Mus musculus: one gene and its partner. The protein of the gene in region 1 purifies or fractionates together with the protein of each later gene. This does not show direct contact. Links are inferred from orthologs where the notes say so. Each region holds a gene or a part of one and is shown on either strand. Other genes may lie near its edges.

What was found.
Region 2: the proteins of Aicda (region 1) and Ctnnbl1 purify together in Homo sapiens (affinity purification with western blotting; 3 studies listed by BioGRID, with this or other methods). This does not show direct contact. The link is inferred for Mus musculus from reciprocal best matches to the Homo sapiens genes AICDA and CTNNBL1.

The regions. Positions count from the first base shown.
Region 1 is NC_000072.6:122,552,033-122,566,885, forward strand, and holds Aicda (single-stranded DNA cytosine deaminase), read left to right. Parts: upstream 1-1,776; 5' UTR 1,777-1,869; coding exon 1,870-1,877; intron 1,878-7,438; coding exon 7,439-7,586; intron 7,587-9,008; coding exon 9,009-9,279; intron 9,280-9,808; coding exon 9,809-9,924; intron 9,925-10,387; coding exon 10,388-10,441; 3' UTR 10,442-12,148; downstream 12,149-14,853. UniProt on the Homo sapiens protein: Single-stranded DNA-specific cytidine deaminase. Involved in somatic hypermutation (SHM), gene conversion, and class-switch recombination (CSR) in B-lymphocytes by deaminating C to U during transcription of Ig-variable (V) and Ig-switch (S) region DNA.
Region 2 is NC_000068.7:157,730,301-157,745,821, forward strand, and holds the start of Ctnnbl1 (beta-catenin-like protein 1), read left to right. Parts: upstream 1-7,100; 5' UTR 7,101-7,229; coding exon 7,230-7,259; intron 7,260-15,521. UniProt on the Homo sapiens protein: Component of the PRP19-CDC5L complex that forms an integral part of the spliceosome and is required for activating pre-mRNA splicing.

The DNA of each region.
Region 1 (14,853 bases):
GGTTCCATGGATAAATGTCCTTGCTGCAAAGCCTGACTACTTGAGTTCAAGCCTCAGGATCTACATGGTGGACAGAGAGGACCAAGTCTTGTAAATTGTCTTCTGACATCTACACATAAGCTCTGGCCCTCGTGCCTCATATACCCCTCCACTGCCAAGCACAGCAATATATATATAATTTTTTAAAATGTAAAGAAATCACAACATCTCTGCCAATATCCATCAAGTCGGCCCTTTGGGAGGCTGTGTACGTGTGTCTCAGTATGTCATTCCCTGGACAATTGGCCAAAGTAGGGCAAAGGTCCGGGCCTCATCCTGTGAGACAAGTTAGAGGGACTTGTCCACCCACCACCTGGGTTCCCTTAACCCTGTAATGTCACGGCTGGTGCTGGTTACTCCCGGTGCCCTGAAATTTTTTTCCCAGGAATTCATTAATTCACTAGTGAGGGAAATTGTGTCTCTGATAGTGATGTGATAATGCAGAGGAAATTAATTAGAGGAAGAAGGAGGATGGGGGCTCATTAACATTTCAGATATGATATCCAGGGAAGGCTAAACTGCCAGGGAGTAAGCCAAGTCCTGAACTATGAGACTTTGCACAGAGAGATTTCACAGCAACAAAATAGGGGCAGGGGCATGTGCTGTGTGCATGCAACGGGATCCAGTCTCTAGCTCAAGACTGGTCTGGTCTATATAGAAAGTTCCAGACCAGCCAGAGGAGCTACATAATGACACCCTATCTAAAAAAAGGAAGGGAAGGAAGGAAGGAAGGAAGGAAGGAAGAAAGGAAGGAAGGAGGGAGGGAGGGAGGGAGGGAGGGAGGGAGGGAGGAAAGAAGGAAGGAAGGAAGGAAGGAAGGAAGGAAGGAAGGAAGGAAGGAAGGAAGGAAGGAAGAGTATAAGAAAGGAAGGAAGGAAGAAAGCAAAGGATGTTCTTCCAGATGATCAGGGTTCAGATCCCAGCAACCACACATGGTGGCTTTCAACCGCCTGCTGGTCCTCTGCAATAGAAATAAGTGCTCTTAATCACTGGGCCAGCTCTCCAGGCCTCCAGTAAGGTATTTTTAATGAGGAAAAAGAGTTCTTTTTTAAAAAAAAAATACTTTTTGACACACACACACACACAAAATTAAAATAAATCACTTTTTGGTGCAAGCAACTAGTCTTTCTAGCTATCTTATAATGTCATTTTAAAAAAAGAAAAATATATTAGAGAATTAGGAGGCTAAAGTTCACTCTCTGGATGCTGTGGTGGTCAACCCCCATCTCTACTGAGGCATAAAACTGAGTGTAACAAACGGAAGGAACAGATACTGTAAGTTCAAGAAGCACAAGATGCATTTAAGGCCACTTTAAGTCACTATGACTGCTATCATTCTTGTTATCACAATTTTAAAATTAGGAAGCATGCACAGACCTTAGGTGTGATACCTGGGACCCCCCCACACACACACACACACACACTCACAGAGCTCATTATCATGATACCAATGTGAAAAGTGTCCAGTGCTATTGTCTCCTGATCTTTGTTACCTGTGGTACCTGGGCTGGCTTTTTAGAGGAACAGCCTCGAAGGAAGTTGGACATTAAGCATGAGCAGAACTGCCCCCCGCCCCCCAATCATTTAATCCGTGTGGCTCTGCCCACCACAGCCCCGCCCATCTTTACTGGACCCAACCCAGGAGGCAGATGTTGGATACCTGGTGGTAGTGATGCTGTCGTGGGGGAGGAGCCCACAAGAGCAAGCTCAGATTTGAATGCCAGGGGCCAGTGCTCTGTCACACAACAGCACTGAAGCAGCCTTGCTTGAAGCAAGCTTCCTTTGGCCTAAGACTTTGAGGGAGTCAAGAAAGTCACGCTGGAGACCGATATGGACAGGTAACAAGACAGTCTCATCTGCTTGTGCATGTGCTCCAGTAGTGCTGGCTGCCTGTCTGGATGGAGGCTTTGCCTGTCAGTGCGCGAATTTCCTCGTCTGCTTGCCACCCTCTGCTCAGGTCTTTTGGGTTTTGGACCTAACTCTGACCACGAAGTTCTTCCCTTCCCCCGGTTTCTCTCTTCTCTGTGTTGCTAGAGATAGGAAGCCTTGACTTGTCCTGAGATTTGGGCAGAGCTAGAGCCGGCTTGTGGTAATAACAGCGAAGCCTTAGAGGCCCGCGCCACAAAGAGGTCGTAGCAACTCCTTACTAAAAACAGTAGTGGTTATTTTCACAATTATTTGGCAAATATCCAACATCTTAAGACTCGCATGGGGAGTCTTTACAGGAATTATTTAGTTATAGCAAGAAGATTTGTACTTCTCAAAAAAAAAAAAAAAAAAAAAAAAACTAAACATTTGAGATGAATTGCTTGCAACTCATTACAATGGTGTCTATTGAAGGAGAGAATTTCATTAAGACAGGCAATTTAGTGTTATAGACTCAACTGTTAGACACTTGGTGACATTTTTACTGTTTAATTCATCTATGCAGAGATTTCTTAGCTTCTTGAAAGCTTTTATATGCAGCTCATGATGAGCCATTATCAGAAATTTCTCTCTTGATTTTTACATTTATTGCCAGTGTGTGAGTCACTATGCCTAAAGCCCATACACTTGAGCTCACTTCCGTTTGGCTATGAGGTTTAGAATATGGAGTTAATATAGCTAATGGTAGCAGGGTGTTCTTCAGATTCCAGATTTTTCCTTTCTTGTCTTCCTTCTTTCTTTTTGTTACCCTTCTCCTACCCCCTCTTCTTCTCCCCCTCCTCCTCTTCCTCCCTCCTCCCCATCTCTTCCCCTCCTCTTCTCCCTCCTCCCCCTCCTCTTCCCCTTCCCCTCTTCCCCCTCTTCCTCCTCTTCCTCCTCCTTCTCCTGCTCCCCATCTCTTTCCCTCCTCTTCTCCCTCCTCCTCCTCCTTTTGCCCCTTCTCCTCTTCCCCCTCCTCCTCTTCCTTTTCCTTCTCCTCCTTCTCCTCCTCCCTCTCCTCCCCCTTTCCTCCTCCCACTCTCCCTCACCCCTATCAGGGACCACATTGAAGACCTCACACATGCTAGACAAGTAATCTGCCACTTAATTACATCCTGAGCCCTCAAAAAGCAAACAGACAGACAGACAGACAGACAAACAAACAAACAAACAAACAAATGTTCACAGGAGGCAGGCAGACAGCATGAGCTGCTTCTGGGTTTATAGTGAATTTTGAAACCAAATCTGAGATCTATGTCCTGATGGAGAAGGGTCCGAGAGAAATGCATGAGCATGGCAAAATGCAAAGCAAAGACGAGGCTGAGATTCAGGGAGAAGCAAACAAGACAGTGGAGAGACACAGGATGGCACGGCATGGACTGGAGCAAGGGCAGCGGGTAACTCAAGGCAGCCCTGCTACTAGGCTGGGATTATTTTTAACCCCTTGAGTCTGGTTTGCATTGCTGGGGAAGCAGCTAAGGTTCTGCCTCAAGGAGCACAGCTGTCTCAGCAGCTGGCGATCTACAGGTTTGGGACACCACCTAGCAAAGTCCTCCTTACCGGGAGGGACATCCCGAGGAGAGGGAGCTGGAAATAGGCTCCTAGCTAGAGTTGAGGGGAGTGCTGGATGGAGGTGCCCAGTCCACAGGTCAGGACTGTGCAGCTCCTCCCACCGTGGCTGGAATCTTAAAATAGAAACAGTCTATTACATCTTCCTGTGGTTCAGACACAACTCTTCTATTTGAGACACATCCTTTCTAAACTCCAAGGATACCTTTCCTTCATAATTTCAGCATCCACCCCCAATACACACTCATAAATACACAAACACACACACAGAGTAAGAGAGAGAGAAAGAGAGAGATAAGCACGTATGTACACTTGCTACCCACAGTATGTAGGAAAAGTTCTCTAGGGCTGTGTGTACGGCTCTGTGGCACAGCACTCACTAGCAGGTACAAGACTCCATGTTCAACCCACTGAAAAAGATTCTCTACTTTTCCCATCTAGGTAACACAGGAAGTTTAGTTAAATAGAAAGGGAATTTATTGCTAAGAGATGAAGTTTAAGCTGTTTAAAACTGGCTGGATTAGAGAGATACCTGTGCTTATTATTATAACATGCTGAGTTTACCTGTACTGTGGTGGTGATGATGATAATGATGCTGTGTCATCACATAGCCCCCGTGGCTTAGAATTCTCCATGAAAGTCAGGCTGGCTTCCATTACAGAAAGATCCACCTGCCTCTGCCCCCCTTCGCCCCCAAGTTCTGGATTTAAAGGTGTGCACACCATGCCCAGCTTCTAAAGGGTTTTTATAATTTAGTGATGAATGTAGACATGGAGGTACTATGATCGTTATCATGGTAAATTACTATTTCAAAATAAAGCTATGATCATTAGAGGCCAAGACAGGAGGACCATGAGTTCGAGGCCAGCTGCAGCAACATAGAGATTTCCAGACTAGCATGGATCCCGCAGCATGAGCATGTCCCCAAAACAATTTTGTTTTTCCAAAAGTCAGGGACTGTCACGTGTGTTGAACTATCATTAAAGCATGAGCTGTGAACGTGTGAACATGCATTCAATGATAGTATATGGTTATTTATAGTGGCTCTAACCACTGCAGCACCAAAGCGGAACATATCCAAATTTCAATCAGCACATAAATGAATAAACAAAACATGTTCTACCCATACAATAGAATATTGCTCGGCAGGAATAAGGAGCCAACTTCTGATATTTGGGTGAATATAAAATTTACTATGTTCCGTGAGAGCAGTTACACAGGAAGGAGGAAACGTGATTTATATGAAATTATAGAAAGTTAGAAATAATTTACATTTACAGAGAGCAGGTCGGCGGTTGCCTGGGTAAGAGGAGAAAGAACAGCCAATAGCGACATAGAAGCTTTAAGAAGCCTAGAAATGTCTCCTCTGATGGCCCTGGCAGTCTGGGCTGCGGACCTGCCGGCATTCACGGAGCTGTAGATTTTAAGCGAGTGGAGCTCACTATGTAAATTGTATCTCAACAACAACAAAAGTGAAAAACGGTTTCAATTCTCTTGCATCAAAACCGTATTCAAATTCCTAACTAGCTCTTAAAAAAAAAATCATTGCACTTCCATCCATCACCACTGTGTGGCGGTGCTGTGTCGACAAGTGAGCGACACAGTTGTTTATCATCCGTTTTATCTCCTGGCTCATGTCCACCGCTTTAACAGGAACTGTAATTTTTTTTTTTTTTTAAGAAACGTGAGGGCTGGGAATATGGTTCTGTGGGAACAGCGCTTGCCATGAAAGCAAAAGGACCTGAGTTGAGGGGTCCAAAAGCAGACACCTGTAATTCCCGTGCTTCTAAGGCAACATAAGAGGTGGAGAAAGGAGAACCCCAGGAAGCTTATGAGCCAGTTAGCCCAGGGCGCACAGCAGAGAGCAAGAGATTCTATCTCAAACAAGACAGAAGTCAAGGACCAACACCCAAGGTTGTACTCTGCTCGCCACACGTATCCTGTAGTATGTGTTGCCTCTACCCCCACCACATACACACACACGCACACACTCCACAAAGATTTTAAAAATTATTTTTAAGTGTGTGTGTGTGTGTGTGTGTGTGTGTGTGTGTGTGTGTGTGTCAATGCATGTGCCCTCAAAAGTCAGAGGTGTCGGATCCTGGTGGAACTGGAGTGACAGGTGGTTGTGAGCTGCCTGATGGAAGAGCAGTTCGTGCTCATAACTGCTGAGCCATCTCTCTAGTCCCCAGAAAACCTGTATTTTTAAAGAAAGAAAGAACGAACGAGAAAAAAAAAACCTCGGGGGCTGGAGATGTAGCTCTACTAGAGAACTTGCCAGCATGCACAAAGCCCTGGGTTAAGTCCCCAACAAGTAGGTGGGACAAGCCTGTTGTCCCAAGACCAGGGGAGTAGAGGAGGCAGGAGAGTTCTCCTTGTCAAATTCCCCACCAGCCTGAGCTAAATGAGTTCTCATCTCAAAACAAACAATAAAAATAAATAAATAAAATAAAATCAACAAAACTGACCCAGCAAAATCCAAAAATGAAAACCCAAAGACCTAAGCAGGGGTGGGGGTTAGGGGGGCGTGGTTTGTCAGACGGCTCAGCAGGTAAAGGCATAAACTGCCAAACCTGATGTCTTGAGTTTGATCCCTCGAGCTCACATGATGGAAGCAGAGAGCCAACTTCCACAAGTTGCCCTTTGACCTCCACAGGTATGTGTATGTCCCTACACACATATCATTCATACAACGATAGTAAACAAATGTGATTTTTTTTAAAGACACAGAGGCAACTATTTCTTATACTTCTGTTTAATGAAGAATGGATAGATACTATGTAGCAACGTGATCGCAAGTCGACATGACCTCATATGACCCTGTGCTTAGAGAGGGAGGAAGGACGCCCCCAGCAAGGCCCATCTGCAACATTCCTTTTCCTGGATAGAGACAGGACACCCACAGAATATGGCTCTTCAAGGAAGAGAGTGACCTTTCTTTTCGCAGGAGCTCAGTGGCTTTGATACCCTGTTGTCTTCCTTCCTCGCTGTGGCTCAAGTGCTGGAAGTAGAGAGTGACTTTCTATGTTTTCCTTTGCTTTGTCTTGTACTGAGTCAGACCTAGAGCCTCATACATGATAGGCAACTGCTGAGCTACTGAGCTACGTTCTTGTGGTGGAGCTCAGGCTGGGCTCAAACTTACAGCAACCTCCCTCCCCCAGCCTTCCCCCCACTCCCCCCCGCCACCCCCCCACCCCCCACCCCCGCACTCCCAAGTGCTGAGGTTACAGGCACAAGCAACCTAACCTGGCCCTTGCCATGTTTTATAACTTGCTTTTGGAAGACTTCTGGTTCTGTGATGCTACTGGGTTAGCGGGGAGACAGGAGGGCAGAAGGTTAAAGGTGTCTAAGACCATGTCCAAAGCCCAGTAGGAGGATTAGGGAGATGGCTGGGCTGGAGAGATGGCTCAGTGGTTAAGAGCACTGGCTGTGTTTGCAGGGGACCAGAGTTCAATTCCCAGCAACCACATAATGGCTCACAATCATCTACAATGGGATCTGACACCCTCCTTTGACATGCAGGCATGCATGTACACAGAGCAGTCATACATAAATTATATAAATAAATACATTAAAAAATAAAAAGTAATAAAGGGTAATTACCTAGTTTGACTGTTGCAGCGAGGGGGGAGGGGAAGAGGAAAGGGAAGAGGGTGGGCAGGGAAGGATTTTAAAGTGAGCATGTCTCAGGTATCCAGAAAAGGAAGCACGACTATGCTTTCTGGTTTAACCTATATAATGATAAGATTTAAAACATCATGATGATCAAAGTAGGCCTGGGGATGCAGCTCGGTGCTGAAGCGCTCAGCTACCTTGCCTATGGCTGTAGGTCCAGCCATCAGCAGCTGCAACAATAATAATCAGAGCTGAAGGAAGACTATGGTGACAGAGAAGCCTTGCCCTGACTTTCTTCTCCAACTCACAGCCTTCTGATGAAGCAAAAGAAGTTTCTTTACCATTTCAAAAATGTCCGCTGGGCCAAGGGACGGCATGAGACCTACCTCTGCTACGTGGTGAAGAGGAGAGATAGTGCCACCTCCTGCTCACTGGACTTCGGCCACCTTCGCAACAAGGTGGGGGGGGGGTTGCGGGGTTGGGGAGGGGGTGGGTGGCAGCTGTTGACACTAAAGCTATGGCTGCCCCTGGTGCCAAATGTTGAGGGGACCAAGGCAGGCCGATTGCTGAGTTTGAGACAGCCTGGTCTACAGAGAGAGTTTTAGGACTACACAGAGAAACCCTGTCTGGAAAAACAAACAAACAAGCAAACAAAGAGTGAAATAATGGTGCATGCCTGTATTTCCACAGTGCTAGGGCTGAAATGAAGGATCTGCCTTGCCAGACAAGCCCCGCCCCTGAGCCCTCCCCTAACCGCCTCTGGCCCCTCAGCCCCTCAGCCCTTTAATCCCTCAGCTCTGGGTTCTTTCTCAAGCACTTTCTTGAGTGAGAAAAACAAATTATATCTTCAGAATTTTTGAAAATCAATGAGGAAAAAAATAGGTAAAATGACATCAACTCAACTTTATTTCCCAAACAATTTTGTTCCCAAAAGACCAGAGAGGCCAATGACCGACCACCTTTAACCCAATGAGTTTCCTTCAGGGACCAGAGAGAAGTCTCTGTTGTTTGGGTAATTAGATAATCCTTCGGCTGCCTGAAAGAACTGCGTTTCTAAGAGAGTTCACCAAATTGCAGATTGGCTTCCATGGGCTTCTCCTTCTCTACTTGGAGTCATGACACACTGTATTTATAGACAGCTTGATCAAGTGGTACTTTCTCTTCGCACACAACACCAGCTTGATTTACTGCTAAGGAAATAGTGCAAAAAAAGATGAGTAAAAGAAAAACTATCTTCAGTCTTCGACAAACGATTTTCGCAATAGGAGATGGGCCTATTACGATTGCAGTTATTACAGTCACTGGCATCACATAGCATGTACACACACGCGCGCGCGCGCGCGCACACACACACACACACACACACACACACACACACACACACACACACCCCTTAATTGCCTTCCACTTAAAACGCCAGACGCCAAGTCAGAGACGAAATCTCTTCAATAAGCTTTTTCCTCCCTCCTTACAAATTATTCTGGCGCCACCTAGTGGCCAAGGTGCAGTTTGCAGTTTTACAACGTGGCGTCCAAACAGGCACTTCCGGGACACGAAGGTAATCCCTGCAAGGTGTGTATCCTTTGTCCCATAGATGTGCAGCTTTCCTTTACCCAACAAAGCCAGTGTAATAAAGCCATTTGACTCCAACAAGTGCTATCTTAATAAGAGAATTATCTTTATGCTGGGAGTGATGGCACACACCTTTAATCCCAACCCTCCAGAGGCAGAGGCAGATGGATCTCTGTGAGTTTGAGGACTGCCTGGTCTACATAATGAGTTCCAGGTCAAGCCAGTGCGACATCCCCACAAGCATCCCAAATGGCCTGGGTGGGAGAGCATGCAGGTCACGTCACCAGTGCTCTCTGCTCTTTCTCCAGTCTGGCTGCCACGTGGAATTGTTGTTCCTACGCTACATCTCAGACTGGGACCTGGACCCGGGCCGGTGTTACCGCGTCACCTGGTTCACCTCCTGGAGCCCGTGCTATGACTGTGCCCGGCACGTGGCTGAGTTTCTGAGATGGAACCCTAACCTCAGCCTGAGGATTTTCACCGCGCGCCTCTACTTCTGTGAAGACCGCAAGGCTGAGCCTGAGGGGCTGCGGAGACTGCACCGCGCTGGGGTCCAGATCGGGATCATGACCTTCAAAGGTGAGACTTGCACACTGGAGAGAGCGGTCTGAGTTGCCACTCAGAGTGAGTGTCAGCGGGGAAACTGGGGGTGGGGTGCTACTTAAAGACCTTCAGTTCGTCCTGGATATCAAAAGTATTACTTTATTTTTTGAGGTAGGATCTCGCTATCCCAGGCTGACCTTCAACTTGCAATTCTCCGACCTCTGCCTTCTGAGTGGCGGAATTACAAGTATACATCAATCTCAGAATTATCAGAATTTGAGAGATAGAAGTTGGCAGGGCTACAGGTGCGCTCAGTGGCAGAACTCTGGTCCAGCATGTGCAAAGCCCTGCATTCCACCTTTAGCAGTCAAATAATAAATTGAGGAGGGAGAGGAGGAGGATAGTGGTCAGAGAGATGGTTCCGTGGGGGCCCTTGCCTTTGTACCTTAAGTTTAACCCCTAAAACACTCTGACTTTCTGACCTTCACCTACACACACACACACACACACACACACACACACACACACACCTCCTTCTTATTTATCTATTTATTTTTCTTTTAAGACTATTTTTACTGCTGGAATACATTTGTAGAAAATCGTGAAAGAACTTTCAAAGCCTGGGAAGGGCTACATGAAAATTCTGTCCGGCTAACCAGACAACTTCGGCGCATCCTTTTGGTAAGTCTGCCTGTCTGTCTGCCTGTCTCTCTGTCTGTCTCTGTCTCTCTGTCTGTCTCTGTCTCTCTCTCTCTCTCTCATACACACACACATACATACACTCACACACACACACACACACCTGGAGCCTCTTAGTTATTTGTTTGTATTATGCATTATTTTATACAATGATTACTTCAAGGCACTTACAACCCAGTTTTCTTTTCTGCTTTACCCAGGACAGAGCTTCCACTTAGACGCTTGCCTCTTGCCTCCTCTTCGCTCAGTCTTCATAACTCTTTCCTTTTGCTAACCTCCCCTCAGGTGGGGTTCCTTCCAGGGCAGAATTCGCCCCTTCTTTTTTTCCTGGTCCTCAAGCAATTTACTTTCCTCTGGAGCCACCCACTTCGTTTAGACACTTTCCTTTCCAGAGATCAAATTTAAAGCCCTTCACTCCGTTTATATCATCTCTCTTTCTCCACAGCCCTTGTACGAAGTCGATGACTTGCGAGATGCATTTCGTATGTTGGGATTTTGAAAGCAACCTCCTGGAATGTCACACGTGATGAAATTTCTCTGAAGAGACTGGATAGAAAAACAACCCTTCAACTACATGTTTTTCTTCTTAAGTACTCACTTTTATAAGTGTAGGGGGAAATTATATGACTTTTTAAAAAATACTTGAGCTGCACAGGACCGCCAGAGCAATGATGTAACTGAGCTTGCTGTGCAACATCGCCATCTACTGGGGAACAGCAGAACTTCCAGACTTTGGGTCGTGAATGATGCTCTTTTTTTTCAACAGCATGGAAAAGCATATGGAGACGACCACACAGTTTGTTACACCCACCCTGTGTTCCTTGATTCATTTGAATTCTCAGGGGTATCAGTGACGGATTCTTCTATTCTTTCCCTCTAAGGCTCACTTTCAGGGGTCCTTTTCTGACAAGGTCACGGGGCTGTCCTACAGTCTCTGTCTGAGCAATCACAAGCCATTCTCTCAAAAGCATTAATACTCAGGCACATGCTGTATGTTTTCACTGTCCGTCGTGTTTTTCACATTTGTATGTGAAAGGGCTTGGGGTGGGATTTGAAGAATGCACGATCGCCTCTGGGTGATTTCAATAAAGGATCTTAAAATGCAGATGAGGACTACGAAGAAATCACTCTGAAAATGAGTTCACGCCTCAAGAAGCAAATCCCCTGGAAACACAGACTCTTTTTCATTTTTAATGTCATTAGTTTACTCACAGTCTTATCAAGAAGAAGAGTTCAAGGGTTCAACCCAATTTTCAGATCGCGTCCCTTAAACATCAGTAATTCTGTTAAAGGGATCAAACATCCTTATTTCTTAACTAACTGGTGCCTTGCTGTAGAGAAAGGAGCAAAGCGCCCAGATCCAAAGTATATAGTTATCATAGCCAGGAACCGCTACTCGTTTTCCATTACAAATGGCAAATTCTTCCCCGGGCTCTCCTCATAGTGCCTGAGACGGACCACGGAGGTGATGAACCTCCGGATTCTCTGGCCCAACACGGTGGAAGCTCTGCAAGGGCGCAGAGACAGAATGCGGCAGAAATTGCCCCCGAGTCCCAACTCTCCTTTCCTTGCGACCTTGGGAACAAGACTTAAAGGAGCCTGTGACTTAGAAACTTCTAGTAATGGGTACCTGGGAGTCGTTTGAGTATGGGGCAGTGATTTATTCTCTGTGATGGATGCCAACACGGTTAAACAGAATTTTTAGTTTTTATATGTGTGTGATGCTGCTCCCCCAAATTGTTAACTGTGTAAGAGGGTGGCAAAATAGGGAAAGTGGCATTCACCTATAGTTCCAGCATTCAGGAAGCTGAGGCAGGAGGATTGTAAATTTGAGGCCAGTCTGAGCTGTAAGGTGAGACCCTATTTCAAACAACACAGCCAGAATTGGGTTCTGGTAAATCATACTTAACAAGGGAAAAATGCAAGACGCAAGACCGTGGCAAGGAAATGACGCTTTGCCCAACGAAATGTAGGAAACCAACATAGACTCCCAGTTTGTCCCTCTTTATGTCTGGTCTCCCTAACAACGATCTTTGCTAATGAGAAAAATATTAGAAAAAAATATCCCTGTGCAATTATCACCCAGTCGCCATTATAATGCAATTAAAAGGCCCACAAGAAATCCTGTATACACGACCGTTATTTATTGTATGTAAGTTGCTGAGGAAGAGGAGAAAAAAATAAAGATCATCCATTCCTTCCTGCATCTATCCCTGTTTTTTATGTTGCTGCGTGGCATCTATTCTGAAATATTAAAGTGGGTGCCTGAAGTTTCATAAATTTGAAACTTTAGAGATTACTATATATCTGCACTCGTCATTGTGATCATCCAAAATCGTAATGATTATGGCTCGGCAGCTGTGCTCTTGATTTTTAGCAACTCCCACCCCCACCCCCACCCCCACCCCCACCCCCAACCCCCACCCTGCGTGCAGCAAGTTCATCCTGGCTTATTTTAAATCAACTGAATTCGAGATTAAAATGTGAAAGTTTTGGAGATGAACTACTGAATAAAATGATGTCGGGAAAAAGCATTTATATATTAAAGTCATACAGATCACAGGGAAGGTGGCGCATGTATTTAACCCCCAGCATTGGAAAGATGGAGGCAGGAGGCTCTCTGTGGGTTTGAGGTCAGCCTGATCTAGACAGAGTGCTCCGCAGATAGCCACACAGAGAGAGCCTGCCTTAGAGAAATAAATACCTGATGAAATAGAATTGAATTGAGAGTCCAGAAATTAACCCACTCAGCTATGACCAACTGATTTCAGATAAAGGTCCAAGGTGTACTGAGTCAGCAAACCCTGCTGGGGCAATCTGACATCAGGTGCAAAGAGTGCAGTCCACATGGTGACACCTGCCTGTCCCCTACTCGGGAGGCTGAGACAAGAAGATCAGTAGTAGTTGCAGTAAATCTCCACCCAAATATGCCCTGGCAATGAAAACACAACTCAATTAATATGAATACATGCTGTGCGCCTAGATTGGGCAGATCTACCGCTGCACTACCATCTTCTCCATCTATGAGACCCTTTAGAACTTGCGGTTTCTAAGGTTTGGGGGTATAATTAGCCCCAGGGCTATCCACAACACTGTCCTAGGCGCATTTCCTAAACACGAGCTTATTCATAAGCCCAGCCAGAGGGTTCACATTGCCCACAACACACCCTCCTTTCCTACCACATAACCAAAGCCCAAACTCTAGAACTGGTTCTAACTGGGAATTCTCATGGCATCCCATAGCATATACCCCCTTCTCTGCAGTGAGCAATATGTCCAGTATTTCCTGGAAACCATTGGTACACAAAACTCTGAGTCACCAACACCCGCTGCTCTGTCTACTGAACTGGCTTCCAATGTTAACTAATTCATTTGAGTGTGTGTATTAGTGTGAGTGTGTGTTAGTTACTTTTGCTGTTGTTGTGATTAAAACACCATGACCAAGGGCAACCTAAGGAAGAGAGCGTGTGTATCTTGGCTTATGCCACTGAGAACGAAGCCATCACTGTGGGGTGGAGGCATGGCTTCAAGTGTCAGGCATGACGTGAGGAGCAGGAAGCTGGGAGATCACATCTTTAACAGCGAGTGCCAAGCAGAGAGGGAAACTGGAAGTTAAAGCCCACAAGTGATGTGCTCCCTCAGCCAGGCTGCACTTCCTGAACACCCCAAAACAGCGCCACCTACCTAGAACCGACTTTGAATATCTGAGCCTATGGGGACATTTGTCATTCTAACCACTGTTGTGCACTGTTGTTGCACAGTGAGCCATCTTGCCAGCTCATATTCCACAATTTGTATTTCATTTTACCAATGCTCTCTCTGTAGTAGTGATAATGATGACTGTTCCCTTTTTTGGTTTTGCTTCGTTTTGAGATTTCAGTATTTTTCTCAAGTTTTATTTTAAGTGATGTTAATTACAGCGTTTGAAGGGGAGGAGCTAATTCCACTCAAAATGGAAGACTCTATAATGTACCCATTAAACTGCTAAAAAAAAAATAATAATAATAATGGTAAGTCTACAAGAGGAGTCAGTTTAGACCCCTAGTGTTGTCAGAGTGTGACCACAATCACCTGCCCAGATCAGAGCCAGAGAACCCGGAAGCTATTTCATACTCTGGTGCAATGGGGGGGGGGGGGGGGGGAGAAATTTTAAAAAAACAAAAAGGAGGAAGAAAAACACACACACAACACAAGGAAGAATTAAGTCCTGATTGACTGACTCCATCTTGCCCACCCTCTCCACCCTAAAATGGCACAAAAGAAAATACCACACCTAAAGACTACTTTTGGTGTAAAACAGGTAACTGATGGGCTAGGATGGGAACAGGGTATGATGATCTGTCTAAAAAAATGTTCCTTTCACGAAGGTGTGTACGTACTTCTGAGCAGATAGGATCGGGACACCAGGGTTCAATGCTTGGGAAGTCACAATTTCATCTGGGGACTGGATACAGATTTACAAAGGGTCCACACATTCCCAGCTTCCATTTGCAGCCTGGCATCTCTAGAGGCTCCTCCCCAAGCCCCAACCCACACCTACAGCTAGAAAGGACCCTTTCTGGAATGGGGTTTCTGCTGTACCTCTGAAATGGTAAACACCTTAAAGCTGAGTCATCCTTAGCCTGGAGAGGCATTCATCAACTCTCGCATCCCCAACATACAATATTAAAAGTCCACTAAATTGGTAGCTATGTTGCAAAATAGTTCAAAATTAACGATTTTACAATATTCATTTATGCTTGAAATTCTAGTCCTAAGCCAAGCTTGTGTCTGCCAGCATTGATGTTCTTGCGTCCAGTAGGGCTGACAATGTCAGTTTGATACCTGGTTTTAGGATCTGAGTGTACCCTAAGCCAATCAGGCTGGAGTTGTTCACTTTGCCAGAAAAGCAGGCATCAGGGTGGAACTGAA
Region 2 (15,521 bases), on another chromosome or scaffold:
AGGTGGGCTGGTTGGCATTAAAGGGAGAGATTTAGGCAGAGTATTTGCTAGTAAGTGGCTGAAACCCAACACATGGCCTCACAGAGCATGGGGTAGACACCAAGCATTCTTTGTCTTATTTTCATCTGTCTCTTCTCCATTCTCTTCCCTACACGCTCCCTCCTCTTGTGCTTTCTTTTTTAACTTATGCTCCCTAACTGTGATTCAAGAACTTTTGTAAGCCATCCGAAATCCTTTCTGAAATACCATGATGGTAGAAATAAAAGTGTGTAACATAACTATACATATAAAATGTAACACGTGCTATAACCTATTCCTAAAACACCAACAGTGGCTGTTCATCATGGGGAGAAATTGATGGTTAGCTGTGTGCTGGGGAGACCTAGGCATCCAGACAGATGCATGCAACCAACAAAGCTCAAGTAACTGGCTTGCAAGTAACTTTATGAATCCTGTGATAATGAAAGTGATTTTCAAAATTATTCAGTCAGTGATATTTAATATTGGCTCAAGACAGAAACTGAGAAAGTAAAGTAAGAGGAAAGGGGAAAAAAGTAAAGCTATCTTTACCCCACTGCTCTGAGAGACTGCTGTGAACCTTCTCTCTGTTGGGTTTGGGGATCAGGGCCCGATCTAGGACTTTGAGTATGGTGACCTAATGCTATGCCTAATGGGTAACAGGAAAATGATGATAAAGTGGCAGGGTTGGGAAGAAGGAAGAAGTGAAATGAAGTACTGAGGAGAGGGGAAGGGAGGGAGGGAAGAGAGGAGGGGGAGAGGGAAGGGAGGAAGAAAGAAGGGAGCTATGGGAAAGGGAAGAATCTTGGAGGGTTTGTGTGACAATTGGGAGTAGGTGGTGAAATGGGGTATCAATACAACGTCTGCTGCCTGGTCTGTGGCAGAAATCGTATATAACTTCCATAGAGTGAGATGCTGTAGAGGGAAGAGATGAGATATACGAATATGATGGTTTGTATATGTTCAGCTCAGGGAGTGGCACTATTAGGCCATGTTGAAGTAGGTGTGACTTTGTTGGAGTAGGTGTACCACTGTGGGTTTAAGCTTTAAAACTCTCATCCTAGCTGCCAGGAAGCCAGTCTTCTTCTAGCAGCCTTCAGATGAAAATGTCGAACTCTTAGCTCCTCCTGCACCATCCCTGCCTAGACGCTGCCATGCTCCCACCTTGATTATAATGGACTGAACCTCAGAACATGTAAGCCAGTCCTCATTAAATTTTTTTTATAAGAGTTGCCTTGGTCACAGTGTCTGTTCACAGCAGTAAAACCCTAAGTAAGACAGAAGTTGGTACCGGGAGTGGGGTATTGCTGTGATGGGCCTGACCATGCTTTTATTTGGAAGAATGTGGGCTTTGAGACTTTGGATTTGGAAAGCAGTGGGATGCTTTAAGTGGGGCTTAATGGTCTGTCCTAGTATGAATATGGAAGATTGTGTTGGTGAGAGTGATTTGAACTGTGTAGACCTGGCCCAAGAGGTTTCAGTGAAGAAGAATTTCAGTATGTGGCCTAGAGATTGCTTTTGTGATATTTTGGTGAAGAATGTGGTGGCTGCTTTTTGCCTTTGTCTGAAGATTCTATCTGAGGCTAAGGTAAAGATTTATATTAATTGTATCGACCAAGGAAGTCTCAAAAGAGTCTAGTAGAGACTTTGTTCTCTGGTTTAGTTTTATAAAGAGTGTTTTAATGAAAAAGAACAAGCGGAAAAAGGAAGCATATAAAATGTATGATTCAAGTAATAAAGGGTACCAGGAAGTGAAGTGGAGCCAAATCCTATGTTCAAGGAGATAAAAGATTGAGGGAGTGGTGATCTCAGAGCAAGATCCCACCCAGCTAAGCTTATTGTTGGTGTTTGCAATTGATCTAGGGAAGTTTGGACTTCTAATCCGGAATGAAGTATAATCCAGAAATGGGGGTACACTTGTGATCCAGATCCTGAGTCTGGAAGACACAGGCTTTTGAACTGGTTTTTGAGGGACACTGGCCATGAAAATATTAGGACCATAAATGGTGGTTGTACTGGCTGGCTTTGTGTGTCAACTTGACACAAGCTGGAGTTATCACAGAGAAGAGCTTCAGTTGGGGAAGTGCCTCCACCAGATCCAGCTGTAAGGCATTTTCTCAATTAGTGATCAAGGGGGGAGGGCCCATTGTGGGTGGTGCCCTGGGCTGTTAGTCTTGGGGTCTATAAGAGAGCAAGCTGAGCAAGCCAGGGAAGCAAGCCAGTAAGTAACATCCCTCCATAGCCTCTGCATCAGCTCCTGATTCAGAGCTGCTTAGTTCCAGTCCTGACCCTTTGGTGATGAACAGCAACGTGGAAGTATACGCTGAATAAACCCTTTCTTCCCCAACTTGCTTCTCAGTCATGATGTTTTGTGCAAGGATAGAAACCCTGACTAAGACAGTGGTACACATCTTTAATCCCAGGAGACAAAGCCAAGCAGATCTCTGAGTTCAAGGCCAGCCTGGGACAGAGTAAGTTCTAGGGGAAAAAGCTTAAGTTCAGGCATGGTGGTACATGCCTTTAATTCCAGAATCCAGGAGATAGAGCCATGCATATCTCTGAGTTCAAAGTCAATCTACAGAGCAAGTTCCAGGACAGCCAAGTTTAGGCAGTAAGAGTTGAAAAAAAGAAAGCTGGTAATAGAATGAGGGGGACCATGTTCCAGCTCCAGCAAGCTGCAGATCTTGGCAGCTTTGGTCATTTGTCTCTGGATTTAGAGTCAAGAATAGACAAGACTACTGTGACAATTGGTGTAGCTTAGCTGGAGCTAAGAAATTAGTGTTGATTACAAAGAGACCGGCATCACTGAAATGAAATCAGGGAAGTGTTTTCTGAGAGTAAGAGAATCTGTGTTCCAGAGATAGCCAAGGTTGTACCTTGTGCTGCAGCTGGACTTGGTAATGTAAGAATAATTGAGATGGTATTGGTTTTGAAGGAATGAAGGGGTCATGGCGAGCAGCTGAGGCTGGGCACTTTGAGAGGCCATGGAAGGCCATTGGTGAAGATTCAGTCTCAGTTGCAACTGATTGCCCAGGACTGAAGGGGTCATGCAAAGAAGTTGAGGTTTGGCACCATGAAGAAATCCTATGAGAGGCTATTGGTGAATCTTAGTTGCAGTGGAAGATCCCAGTGTATTGGAGATGCCAGTACCATGGGATGATCACCAAGAACAGCAGCAGCAGTGGAATGGAGTTAACCAGAGACTAGAGTGCTACAGAGGGCAGAGCTGGAGAAGTGATGCCAGCCCTTTGGAGGAGCCCAGATCATGTGTGGACCAAAGACACTGGAACAAGAAGCTGTGAAGCTGGAGTTGACCTTACGATGTTAAAGATGCCAGAACCACAGGATACCTGCCAGGGAAAGCTGCTAACAGGGAGTGGCATCAGCTCAGGAGAAAAAACTTTGGATGGATCTCGGAAGGGGCTTTGGACTTTTAACATTGTTAAGACTGGTATAGACTATGTTGGACTAAGTGTACATTTTTATTATGCTATGGCTAGCTATGGCCCCCATAGATGTATGTGTTTGAACAAGCCTATAGGGGCCAGGGAGTGGAATGTGATGGTTTGTATATGCTTGGCTCAGTAAGTGGCACTACTAGGAGGTGTGGCCTTGTTGAAGTTTGTGTGGTCTCCTTGGAGCAGGTATGTCACTGTGGGTATGGGCTTTAATACCCTTGCCCTGGATGCCTGGAAGTCACTCTTCTCCTAGAAGCCTTCAGATGAAGAGCCTCTCAGCTCTGCCTGCACCATGCCTGCCTGGAAGCTGCCATGCTTCCACCTTGATGATAATGGACTGAACCTCTGAACCTGTAAGCCAGCCCCAATTCAATGTTGTTCTTTCTAAGAATTGCCTTGGTCATGGTGTCTGTTCACAGCAGTAAAACCCTGACTAAGACAGGGAGTCAAGTGGAAGTGCCTCGGAGCCCAAACTGGTACATCCCAGAGGATGACAGCCTGTACCCCACGTTTCTGCAAGGTGCAGTATGACATTGCTTTTGTGAGAATCCAAGCAGATGCCACAGCCCCTCTGGGGGCCTGCAGTTATTGGGGTAGCTGGGAATAGTGCCCTGGGAAGAGCAATAATGACAGTGACAGGGGCCAGGCTCCCTTTCAAGTGCTTTAGCAGGTGGCAATAAAGAACCCGTGCAGAGGCTCCCTGGAGAGCACTAACAGAGCAGGGACAGAACAGGTGCACACCTGCAGACAGTTTGGGCCTCCACAAGCACTGGCCTGAGATTCCCAGGCTGGTGCGGTCAAGGGCCGTTAGTCAGCGAGTGTCTATTGACGCCTGCTGGGCATGATGTACACACCTGGGATTTTAACCCTGGACAATATTTTTTGTTTAAGATTTTTCTCCCTAACTACAGTATATGTTCCCAGAGCTCCATGCTGGAGCTGGGGAGATCACTCCCCGTGTGAAGCACTTGCCTTGAAAGCCTGAAGACCTCAGTTTGAAACCCTAAACCCGTGTAAAGCCAGGCATGATAGCGCGCACCTGTAATCCCAAGGCTTTGTGCTGAGATGGGAGCTGGAGACAGCGGAATCTCCAGAAGCATGTGCCTCCTACTGAGAGATCCGTATGCCCCTGCTTCTGGAGTGCTAGGATTAAAGGGGTGCACCATCACACCTGGCCCTGACCTTTTCTTTAACTCATTTTCATAAATTGGCAGCTTAGCTGGGTGGGATCTTGCTATGAAGCCACTGCTCCCTTCATTCCATTTAACATCAAGATTAAAAAAAAATTATCTCCTTGAATAGAGGATTTAGCTCCACTCTACTTCTTGCTGTCCCATTTCTCCTTGAACAGTCTCTAGGCCACACACTAACATTCTTCTCCATTGAAACCTCTTGAGGCAGGTCCCCATAGGTTCAAATCACTCCAGGTACCACTATCTTCCATGTTCCTACTAAGATGGCCCATTAAGCCCCACTTAAAGCATTCAACTGCTTTTCTAATCCAAAATCCCAAAGTCTGCACTCCTCCAAACCAAAGCATGGTCAGGCTTATCACAGCAATACCCCAGTCCCTGGCACCTACCTTAGTCAGGGTTTTATTGTTGTGAAGAGATACTATGACCATGGCAACTCTTATACAAAGGTTTCTTTGGGGCTGGCTTACAGTTCAGAGGTTTAGTCCATTATGGTTATGGTGGGAAACATGGCATTGTGCAGACAGACATGGTGCTGGAGAAGGAGCTGAGAGTTCTATATCTCGATCTGTAGCTAGCAGGGAGAGACAGTGATACAATAGCCAGGCTTGAGCTTCTGAAACCTCAAAACCTACTCCCTAGTGACACACCTTTCCAACAAAGCCACACCTCCTCTAACAAGGCCACACCTCCTAATAGTGCCACTCCCTATGGGCCCATGGGGGCCATTTTTATTCAAACCTCCAGACTGGGCTTTTGCAAATCTGCCTATTGAAGCTGACTGAGGCAAGGCACAAACTAGAAAATAGTTCTGTTCATGGTTACCTTTATTCTGTCCTGCCTCTCTGGAGGTCACAATCTACACTTAATTGAAAGGGAGGGGAAGGACATGCAAATGAACTCTGTAAAAAGCAGTTTACATTGGCTACTCTTTAAAAACAAAAACCCAATCAGAAAGCATCCCTGTTTTGACGATCTCAACAACTTCCCAAAGTAGATAACATAAAATCCACTCTCCTTAACAACACTCACAAAGCCCACGGTGAAACCTTCTCTGTCATGCGTTGTTCTGGGCTTTGAAGATTCGAGGGTGAGGTTGACAAACTCAATCCCAACTTTTAGAGAGTTTGGAGTCCAATTAATGAGGCTGTCAAAACATAAAATGTCAACCATCAAGTACAAAATGACAGATTGAGTCTGTGAACAGTAGAGGAAGTGCTAACAGAGAGAATAATGAGGAGAGGTTGTGGCAGTTTGAGGAATAACAATTTTCTTATGTGTAGTTGGAGGTAGTTGAATGGGGTTTCTGGATGGTGTCTGTTGTAATCCCAGAAGAGGAACGCCTTGACTATCTCTCAATAATGGGCAAATTCCTTCCCCAGGAACCAACCTTTATATATATATAAATGTGTGTATGCGTGTGCTTGTGGGTCTGCACAGAGACCAGAAGAGAGCACCAGATCCCCCAGAACTGGAGTTACAGGCAATTGTGAGCTGTCCAGCATGGGTGCTGGGAACGGAAGTAGACGTCTAGAGAGCAGTAAATGGTTCTAAGCGCTGAGCCATGTCTCCAGACCCCCAGACCCTTTAATACAGCTTGGGTAGACAGGAGATCTTCCAGTTGCCACTGGGTCTTGTGTTAGTGAATACAAAGAAGCCTGGGGGAAAAAAACAAACATGATATCAATGGTTTCTCAGCCACCTATGGCCGGAAGCCATTTTGTAAGCCCAGGGGAAGCATAATGGGAACCCCAAAATGAAATCCACATATACAATTTCAGTATATCTACTAAGTACGCTTAACAAATGAGAGGAAAGTCAAATTCATTTCATAATATATCTTCCTTTACCCAGTAAGTGAAAAAAAAAAAAGGAACCAGTTCAAGTACGAAAAATCCACTGTGCATTTGATTAACACTTAACATCTTTATTAGGACTAGGCACACTTCAAGTGCCCCAGAGCCACATGTGACTAACTATGGGGCGCATAATTTCAAACCTCAGCTCCTTCCTCTCCCTCTTTCCCTCCCTCTTCTCTCCCTGTAGCCCTAGCTGTCCTGGAACTCGTTTCTGTAGACGAGGCTGTCCTCGAACTCAAAACATATGCCTGCGGAGCTCTGCCTGCCTCTGCTTCCCCAGTGCTGGGATTAAAGGCATTCAACACCACCAACAGGCCAACTTCAATTATCTGTGAAATGAGAATGAAAGAACAAAAGTGCCAGTCTCTGGAAGCTCTTTAAGGTTACCCACGAAATGCCAAGCACTCTGCTCTACTCTTGGATAACGGCCTCGCTTTTAGGTTCATCCCCTAAGTATCCGCCCCTTTCCCCGCCCCTTCAGGTTACAGGCGGAAGCAGAATTGTCAAAACGCGGCGCGCTTTACGGCAGCGCGTCCTTTTACGGCAGTGTGGCGGGCTCACCGGCCACGCGCTCTTTTACTCTATTGGTTCTGGGGCCTGGCGCTTTACGGCAGTGTGTCAGGAAAAGCCTCTGAGCGGCCCGTGGTTCGGGAGTTGAGTGGAGGCAACCAGGGTACCCTGTGCTGATTGGGTCCGGAACCATGGACGTGGGCGAACTTTTAAGCTACCAGGTAAGAGCAGTTGGCGAGGCCGGAGGGCTCCTCATCCTCGCTCGGGTAGCAGGGACAGAGTCCCGTCATCTTGCCTCCCCTCGGTCCCTGGCCCTCACTTCTCATGTCACCCGGGCTTGCATCCTGTCATTGCACTTCACTCCCCTAAGCCCTCTGGACCCTTTCGACCCCTTCCTTCTCCAGACCTGAGCCTTGTGATTTCTGTTCCCCACCCGGTAGCCCTCAGCTCCTCTTCCGTCTCGTTTCTACCAATTCACAGGGCTTGGGGAGACAGTTGTGAAGACCCCCGCCCCCCCCCCCCCCCCGGTGTTGAGCCTCAGTTTCTTTACCAAGTGTCAGTGTAGCTTTGGAGAAGTCTTTCTCCCGTCACGGAGTCTCAATTCTTCTTTTAAAATCTATAAAGTGGATGGATGTATGTGAAAGGTCATTTGAAAGTGCAGAAACCTGTGCCCACGTTCCCTGCTATTGTTAAGCTGTTTGGAAGACGGAGCTTGGAATGGGTCGGTAAGAGACCTCTCGACCTCCTTGCTCAGGGTGCTTGTGAGGAACGGGTGACCCAGAGAGAAGAAAGGACTCTCTTGAGGTCACTCAACAGTTACAAAGCTCAAGTGTCCAGACTCCCAACTCAGAGTTTTGTCCCTCTTTTGACTGCCTAACGAGGCTTCTTGTGTCCATCTTTGTTTTCATTAGCTGCAATAGGCGTTGGGACCCATAAACTGTAATTATTCTGAATTAGGAAGTACTGTAATTGTAAATCACACTTCATTTTAAAGACTTAGTATGAAAAAGGTAGTATTTTTATATTGATCACAGATCCTTGATCATATTGATTGAATATGTATGAGGCCATAATATGATGGAGCAGACTTTGGGTGATGGATGAAATAAAAAGTGGGTAAGCCAACCTTATCCACTTGCATTTTGTTCAAGGTGTGATGTTTTAAAAGTGATAGCTTTGCAGTCAAGAGTAGGCAGTGAGAACCTGTGAACTTGAGTTTAAAAGTGATAGCTCTAGGCCGGGCGTGGTGGCTCGTGCCTTTAATCCCAGCACTTGGGAGGCAGAGGCAGATGGATTTCTGAGTTTGAGGCCAGCCTGGTCTACAGAGTGAGTTCCAGGACAGCTAGGGCTATACAGAGAAACCCTGTCTCTAAAAAAAAAAAAAAAAAAAAACTCAAAAAACCCCCAAAACCAACAACAACAAAAAAGTGATATCTCTGCAGGCCAGAGTAGGCGGTAAGAACCTGTGAACCTGAGCTGTTAGCCATGGCTGCCTTGAATCTCAGTGCCTGAAAGTTGGGAGGGAGGCAGCGGCCAGTGGGTCACTGAGTTCCAGGCCAGCCAGGGGTACATACTGAGACACCCCACCACCACTACAATAAAATAAAATAAAAGGCCTGGATTTGGAGCCCCAGGTTGCCTTCCATGCCTTTTGCCTTACTAACTAGTTGTTGTAATCTTGAACAGATACCTCATGGTACCGACCTTATGGTCGGTTGTGAAGAAAGTTCTTCTTCTGGTAAGAGTCTGTTAAGAAGCTGGCGCCTTTAATCCCAGCACTTGGGAGGCAGAGGCAGGTGTATCTCATTGAGTCCGAGGCCAGCCTGGTCTACAGAGGACAGCCAAGGCTACACAGAGAGACTCTGTCTTGAAAAACCAAAAAATAAAAGCAAACCAAAATGAAAGAACAACAAAAAGCCTAGCTATGTCTGGTGGTTGGTGATTCACACCTTTAGTCCCAGCATTTGGGAGGAGGCAGAGGCAGGCGGATTTCTGAGTTTGAGGCCAGCCTCGTCTACAGAGTGAGTTCCAGGACAGCCAGGGTCTCACAGAGAAATCGTGTTCAGAAACCAAACCAAACCAAAAGAAAAGAAAAAAGAAAAGAGAAAAAAAAAGCAGTGTTAGGCCAATGTTTGTTGCAGTTAAAACAGCCCATAAATACTAATATTGGTAGTTATTTCCTTTAGCCAATATATACAACACTGACCCCGTAGATGGAGACTCCAGGCCTGATGAGAAAGAATACATTAAAAGAAAAAAAGGGAAAGAATACATAAGCAACAGATAACAGATGCGAGGCCATAATAGTTTTCTCTTTAAGATATGTAATTGGTGATGAAACAAGAAAGATGGTGGGAAGGTCACCGATGAGTGCTCGTCTGGGAGTTCTGGGCTGGCTAGTCCAGTCCATTGTTTCAGATGTGGAGCAACACTACCAGAAGGGGCCCATTCTTTGGTTACAGATATTTATTGACCATCTACTGTGTGCAATGCACTTGGTCCACTGAGCATATGATGTGGAAAGAAATGAGACAAGGCTCTTGCTTTTGTGTGAAAAGGCAAATATGGTGGGGGAGTCACCAGAGAATAACTAAGGAAGTAAACAAGAACTTCAGATGGCTGGACGTGTTGTGAGGGAGTGCAGCAGGGTCCGCCGCGGACATGTGAGCATACGTGGTGGCTGTTGTGCACATGGCTAGTGCACGTCAAAAGGGGGGCCCATCTGCATCAAGTTCTTTCTTATGTGTAAAGTGCACCCTGCATCTCACAGCCTTATTGTGGAAAGATGAAATGTCTTAATTTTTAAATATGGATTACATTTGATATACTGGATTAAGGATAATAGATTATTAAACTTAAATTTTGTGCCTACTTCCAAGTTTAATCTTCTATGTAAAGTTTGTGACTTCCACTGCATTTCTGTAGGCCAGCGCCATTGTAAATAGCTCCTTTTAGGGTCTCTGTAGACTGAGTGATCAGGGAAGGAGTCTGATGAGCCAGCATTAGTGCTCTGAAGGTTGAGGAGCCAGCATATGACAGGGCAGAATAGTGAAGGCAGGAGCAGCGACTGTGAGTGCAGGCCTAGGCCCATTAGATGAGTAGAGAGAAGAGCCGTGTAGCCCGAACTTGGTGAGTGAGCAGGACACCAGAAGGGGATGGAGCTGGAAATGTTGGCAGACTACAGACGATGTAGGACTTCCTTAAAAGCCTTTGCATTTATAGAGGTGATACAGATGTCTTCATTCAACCTAACTGTTTGTAACTTACTAAGAACTCAGATCTGATAGACAGACCCAGCTAAGGTTTCAAGCTAGGGCTGTGACTGACAGGCCAAGGCAGTGACTGACATGTCTCCAGAATCTTGGTCTTGGAATTACAGCTCTGTTCCTTTCAGCAGGGTCTACTTCCATTCCTATCTGAAAAGGTGGTAGTCTAATCTAGAATCTGTAGTCTAAATCTATAGAGTCTACTCTATAATCAGTCAGACATGGCCTCCTGTGGGAAATCTTGAGGATGAGATGAGCCTATAGAAGTGAAAGTTCTTTGAAGACAGTGATAATCTTACACAAAATAATTAGTTATAAGTGAAAGTTCTTTGAAGACAGTGATAATCTTACACAAAATAATTAGTTATTTATCTGCCTCTTCACTAAATCCATATAACAGCCTTACCAGGAACTAACTTTCTTTTCTAGTCAGGATCTTATGTAGAACAGGCTGTCCTTAAACTCACTTTGTAGCCAAGGGTGACCCTGAATTTCTGACTCTCCTGTTCCACCTTTCAAATGCTGGGATTGCAGGTGTTCACCACCACATCTGGCTTATGGTATGCTTTGGACAGAGCCGGGGCTTCATGAACGCTAGGCAAGCACTCTACCAAGCGAGCTACATCTCTAGTCCAGGAGGAATTCCCTGGACCCCACAGAGTCTCACTATATAACCCTGGCTGGCCTGTAGACCAGGCTAGCCTCAAACTCACAAACATTTGCCTGCTGCTTGCCATTGCCTTTGGAGTGCTGTGATTAAAGGCATGGCCATGTCCGGTATGAGGAACTGTTTTAATCTCTGATTTACAGAGGGAGAAACTGAGACCTAGCCACTGAAGGTACCTAGCCAGAGAGTGCTCAGGCAGTCCTATTCTGTAGCTGGAGCTCCTGACTGTTCTGCTGGTCTGTCTGCTGTGTGCCAGAGGCAGAACTAACTTGCTTGCAGATAAGTTGTCAGGTATGGTTGTCAGCACATCCTCCAAAGGGAGATGGTGTGACTGCTTCATGGAAAGGGAAACTGGAGCTAGGGAGGCAAGTTTCCTGTCTGTGAAACTCACAAAGCCAGGAAGCAGTAGAGCCAGCACTGAACACCCAAGCATGTTTGCCATTTTGAAAAAAGCCTTTGCGTTGATGTGCTTATGTAGAAGAAAGCGTACATTGTAAGCACTGTGGCATATAGTCAGCACTGGCAAAGCCGACTGCCACTGAGCACGGAAGCTCCCTGCGTGGGAACAGAAGGGAGCAAAGCTATCCCATTCCCAACTCAAGTGTTTGACTCAGTGTCCTGAGAGTTGGGGGTGTGCATTTGGGGTGATGCTAAAACTGGTGGTCAGGGACTGTCCACAAAGGCACCCTGGTCTAGACTCATCTGCATTCACTTAAGCTTTTCCCAGTTGAGACGACCCTTGCTTCTCCTGGGCACTGGTCTGCAGGCTTTTCAGCTTAAGCTGTACTTCTTCCCTGCCACTCAAAATGGAGAGCAAATCACTTAATCTCTCTGGGCCTCAGTTTCCTCCTATGCCTAATGAGGGGATTAAGTATGACTCTCTCCGAGGTCTCTAGTAGCTTTAAAATTCTGCTATACTAATTATTTAGGCCAGGGACTCCAGAGAGTCCAGGGGCTGAAAAAGCCTGATGGGGTGAAGAAGTTGGGGCTGGAGACCTGAGAGATTGGGGTTCTAATCCAGCCTTTATCAGCACTTATCTGGGTGTCACTTTCCCTCTCTGCACATCGTTCTTCCCGTTAGTTGTAAAGTGAGGAGGTCAGACAGTACAACTTCTGGTTCTTTCCATTCTGAAACTCAGGGTCTAAGGTGAGCAAGAAGAACTATCATACAGCAATAGGAAGTGTTTATTAAAAGTTTAACAATTTTTTTAGCATGCTTATTAAATTTCATTTTTTGGGGCAAGTCAGTGGGAAGATTGCAATTTTCTGCTGAGATTGGTTCTTCTGGTAATAGGCAGAAGAGCGCCTCAGTGCATGCCTTCTACCCTTGACAGATGTTAACAATTCATTTGAGAAGACAGGAGAATTACAATGTGGACAGGAGGTGGTGGGGAAAGTCTTAAAGAGGAAACCAGTTATGTTCCCAATATGGAAATGCACTTTTTGATGCCTTCAGGCTTAGACATCTCATCAAGAGGTGTGCCCAGCAGTGGCTTGGCAGAGAAGTTTCTGCCGCATAGGCGCAGAGCTGAACTCCAGGGCACTCTCATTAATACTCATTCCACAGATGTCTGGGAGAAAGTTCTTTTACCTCTGAAGTTTTGCAATAAAGAATTCACATTTAGTTCAGATTGGCTCGGTGGGAACGGCTGGCTTTGCACCACCAGAGAAATTCTCTTTGAGACAGATTGGGGTCAGAGACCCTTGGCTTGGGTGATATTGCAGACACCCACTCCCCCTGTCAGATGTGGGTAATATCAGCATTTTCTTGGATTGGAGGGGCTTCTACCAATCTCTGTTTTGCACCTCTCCCATTTCTTACTTTTGAAATAAATTTTAATGATAATGATAATCAACTGTCAAAAATAGTATGAAAGATTTTGAGGCGAGGAAAAACCATCACCCGTATCTAAGGACTATTTTTTTGTTTTCATATTCTCCCAGCTTGGGTACCTGTAAGTATTGCATATGGGTTCTTTTGTGTTGTTTATTTTAAGCATGCATTTCTTTTCTACATAGCTTTCATGCTGTTCTCTAACGTATGTGAGCTTTTGTTTGAATAATAGACCATTTTCCCCTCCATTATTTCTCCTCAGTTGGATATTTCGGTAGTATTCAGGTTTTTGTTCTTGGAGGTATATTGTGTGGAGCTTCTTTGTTCAAGTGGCATTTCTCTCTCCCCTTGTCACTCATAATTACTTTGTGCTATTTCCTGAGGTAAGGGTCACATGTGTTAAAATCATTGCGACCTGATCTGGGCTTGAAGAATTCATGATCTGAGATGTGAGGTGGGCATTTAAACACCTCACTGTGTGTAAGTATCCTGGGAGCACTGTGTAAGGAGCAGTTGGATAAGCTCAAGGAGGTGCTGGATCAGAGGGCGTGGATTCAGTTGGGTCATTGAGAAAAGAGAGGGCTTAGAATCCCAGCCCTGATGGAAGAGTCTGTGGGTGGCAGAGGAGGCTGGGAGGGGTCAGTTGCCAACTGTTAGGAGCAAAGTTGTGTGATGGGTGTTCAGGGAATTGGGGGAGTAGCCAGAGAGAGTGGGGTCCCTTTAGCTGCAGGGACAATGCGGCCAGCGCTCATGTGGGGCCACCCCTTCATTCAGCTCCATGCACTCCTGTTTACTGCATCCTGATAGTACTGCTTGTAGTGACTTACATTTCTGCCATTTATCTAGTAGGCACATAAAGCGCTAGCTCAGAGTTATTGAGTGAGTGTATTTTTCTTGTACATGTGTATCATTTGTACTTCTTGCTACCTGCTTCCCCCTGTTAAAACAGTTTGTAATTGAGCCTTTTCAGTTTTTGTTTTTGTTGTTCTTGGGCGTGTAAGGCACATTATTGAAAGTCTGAACTCTTGAGTTCAAAATGCATCCTTCATTTTTGTGGCAGCTTCATGTTATGTTCTAACCCTGAGAATATTATTCTGATCATACTGAAAGAGACTGCTTTTTGCATGACAGCTTCATGCTTTCCCAGGTTAATTTTGTTAGCAAGCTGGCTATAAATAACAGGTAAAGAGCAAGTTCCACTGGTGTTCCTTCCCCATTTATTTCCTCTCTCCATGTTTTTTCTCCTGTAAGTTCATTTCTTCTCGCCATGACTTCCTCATCTGTCTTTCCTCCCGCTCATTCTTATCACAGAATATACAGTATGCTCCTGTGCCTCCTGTAAATTCAGGGAGGCAGCCAGCATCTAGCAGCATGTCTTACCATCCTCAGTGTCCAGTAATAGTTGTTTGGGAACGGCTTGTGTATTAATTTTTTTAATGCTAAGATCAAATACTTGACAGAAAGCAAGTAAAGAGTGCAAAGGTTTGTTTTGGTCACAGTGTTTTGGTCACAGGGAATACAATTTATATTAGTTACTCTCCTGTTGCTGTGATTGAATCCTGACAAAAAGCAACTTAAGAAAAGGTTTCGTCTGGCTCACAGTTCCAGAATATAGAGTCCTCCCCGGTGGGGAAGGGATGCAGCCGGAGCATGAGGCTGCCGGGCAGGCAGTCAGGGAGCAGAGAGGTCACATTTCCTGTGCACATGGGCACATAGGAAGTGCTGCCAGGCTATAAACCTTCAATGCCCGCCCTCAGTGATGGGCTTCCTGCAGCAAGGCTCTGCCTTCTAAAGAGTTCAGAACCTTCCTAAACAGCGGTACCAACTGGGGACCAAGTGTTCAGACACTGGAGCCTTTGGGGGGCATCCCTCATTCTAGTCACTATCGTTCCATTGTGGTAGGGATCACATGGCAGCCAGCATGTGAGGGCCTGGTCACATTGCATCCACAATCAGGAAGCAGAGATGATCAACTGGTGATCAGCTGGAATTTTCTTTTCACTTATTTCTGGAACCTAGTCCATGGGCTGGTATTCAGGGAAGGTCTTCCCTCCTGGGTCAAAAACTCCCACACAGATACACCCAAAGGTGTGTTTCCATGTTGCTTCTAAAGATTTATTTATTGCTATTTTATAAGTGTAAGTGTTTTTCTGTGTTGTACATATGTGTACCATGTGCATGCTTTGTGGCCAAAGAGGCCAGAGGAGGGCATTAAATTTCCTGAAACCTGGAGTTACAGATGGTTGTGAACTGCCAAGTGGGTGCTGGGAGCTGAATCCAGGTCCTCTGGAAGAGCAGCAAGTGCTTTTAACTGCAGAGCCATCTTACCAGCCTTGGGGGTGGGGTGGGGGGTGGGGGCTGGGGCTAGTCAAGTGCAGATTAACGGTGGGGACGGGATATGTGTGCTGTGGAGTTTCCTTCTTTTGGAAGCTCACCCTCCTCTGCCTCGCTTGCTGGCTGGGATGGTGCCCTTCCTTTCCCTTCCGAGGACGGTTGTCACATCACCTTCTGAACAGTTTTTCTCTTACATTTTTGTACATTTGTTTTTCAAGACAGGGTTTTTCTTTGTAGCCTTGGCTGTCCTGGAACTCACTTTGTAGATTAGGCTGACCTGGAACTCAAGAGATTCACCTGCCTCTGCCTCCTGGGCACTGGGATCAAAGGTGTGCGCCACCACCACCTGGCTCTTATTTATTAGTTTATTTGTTTATTTGTT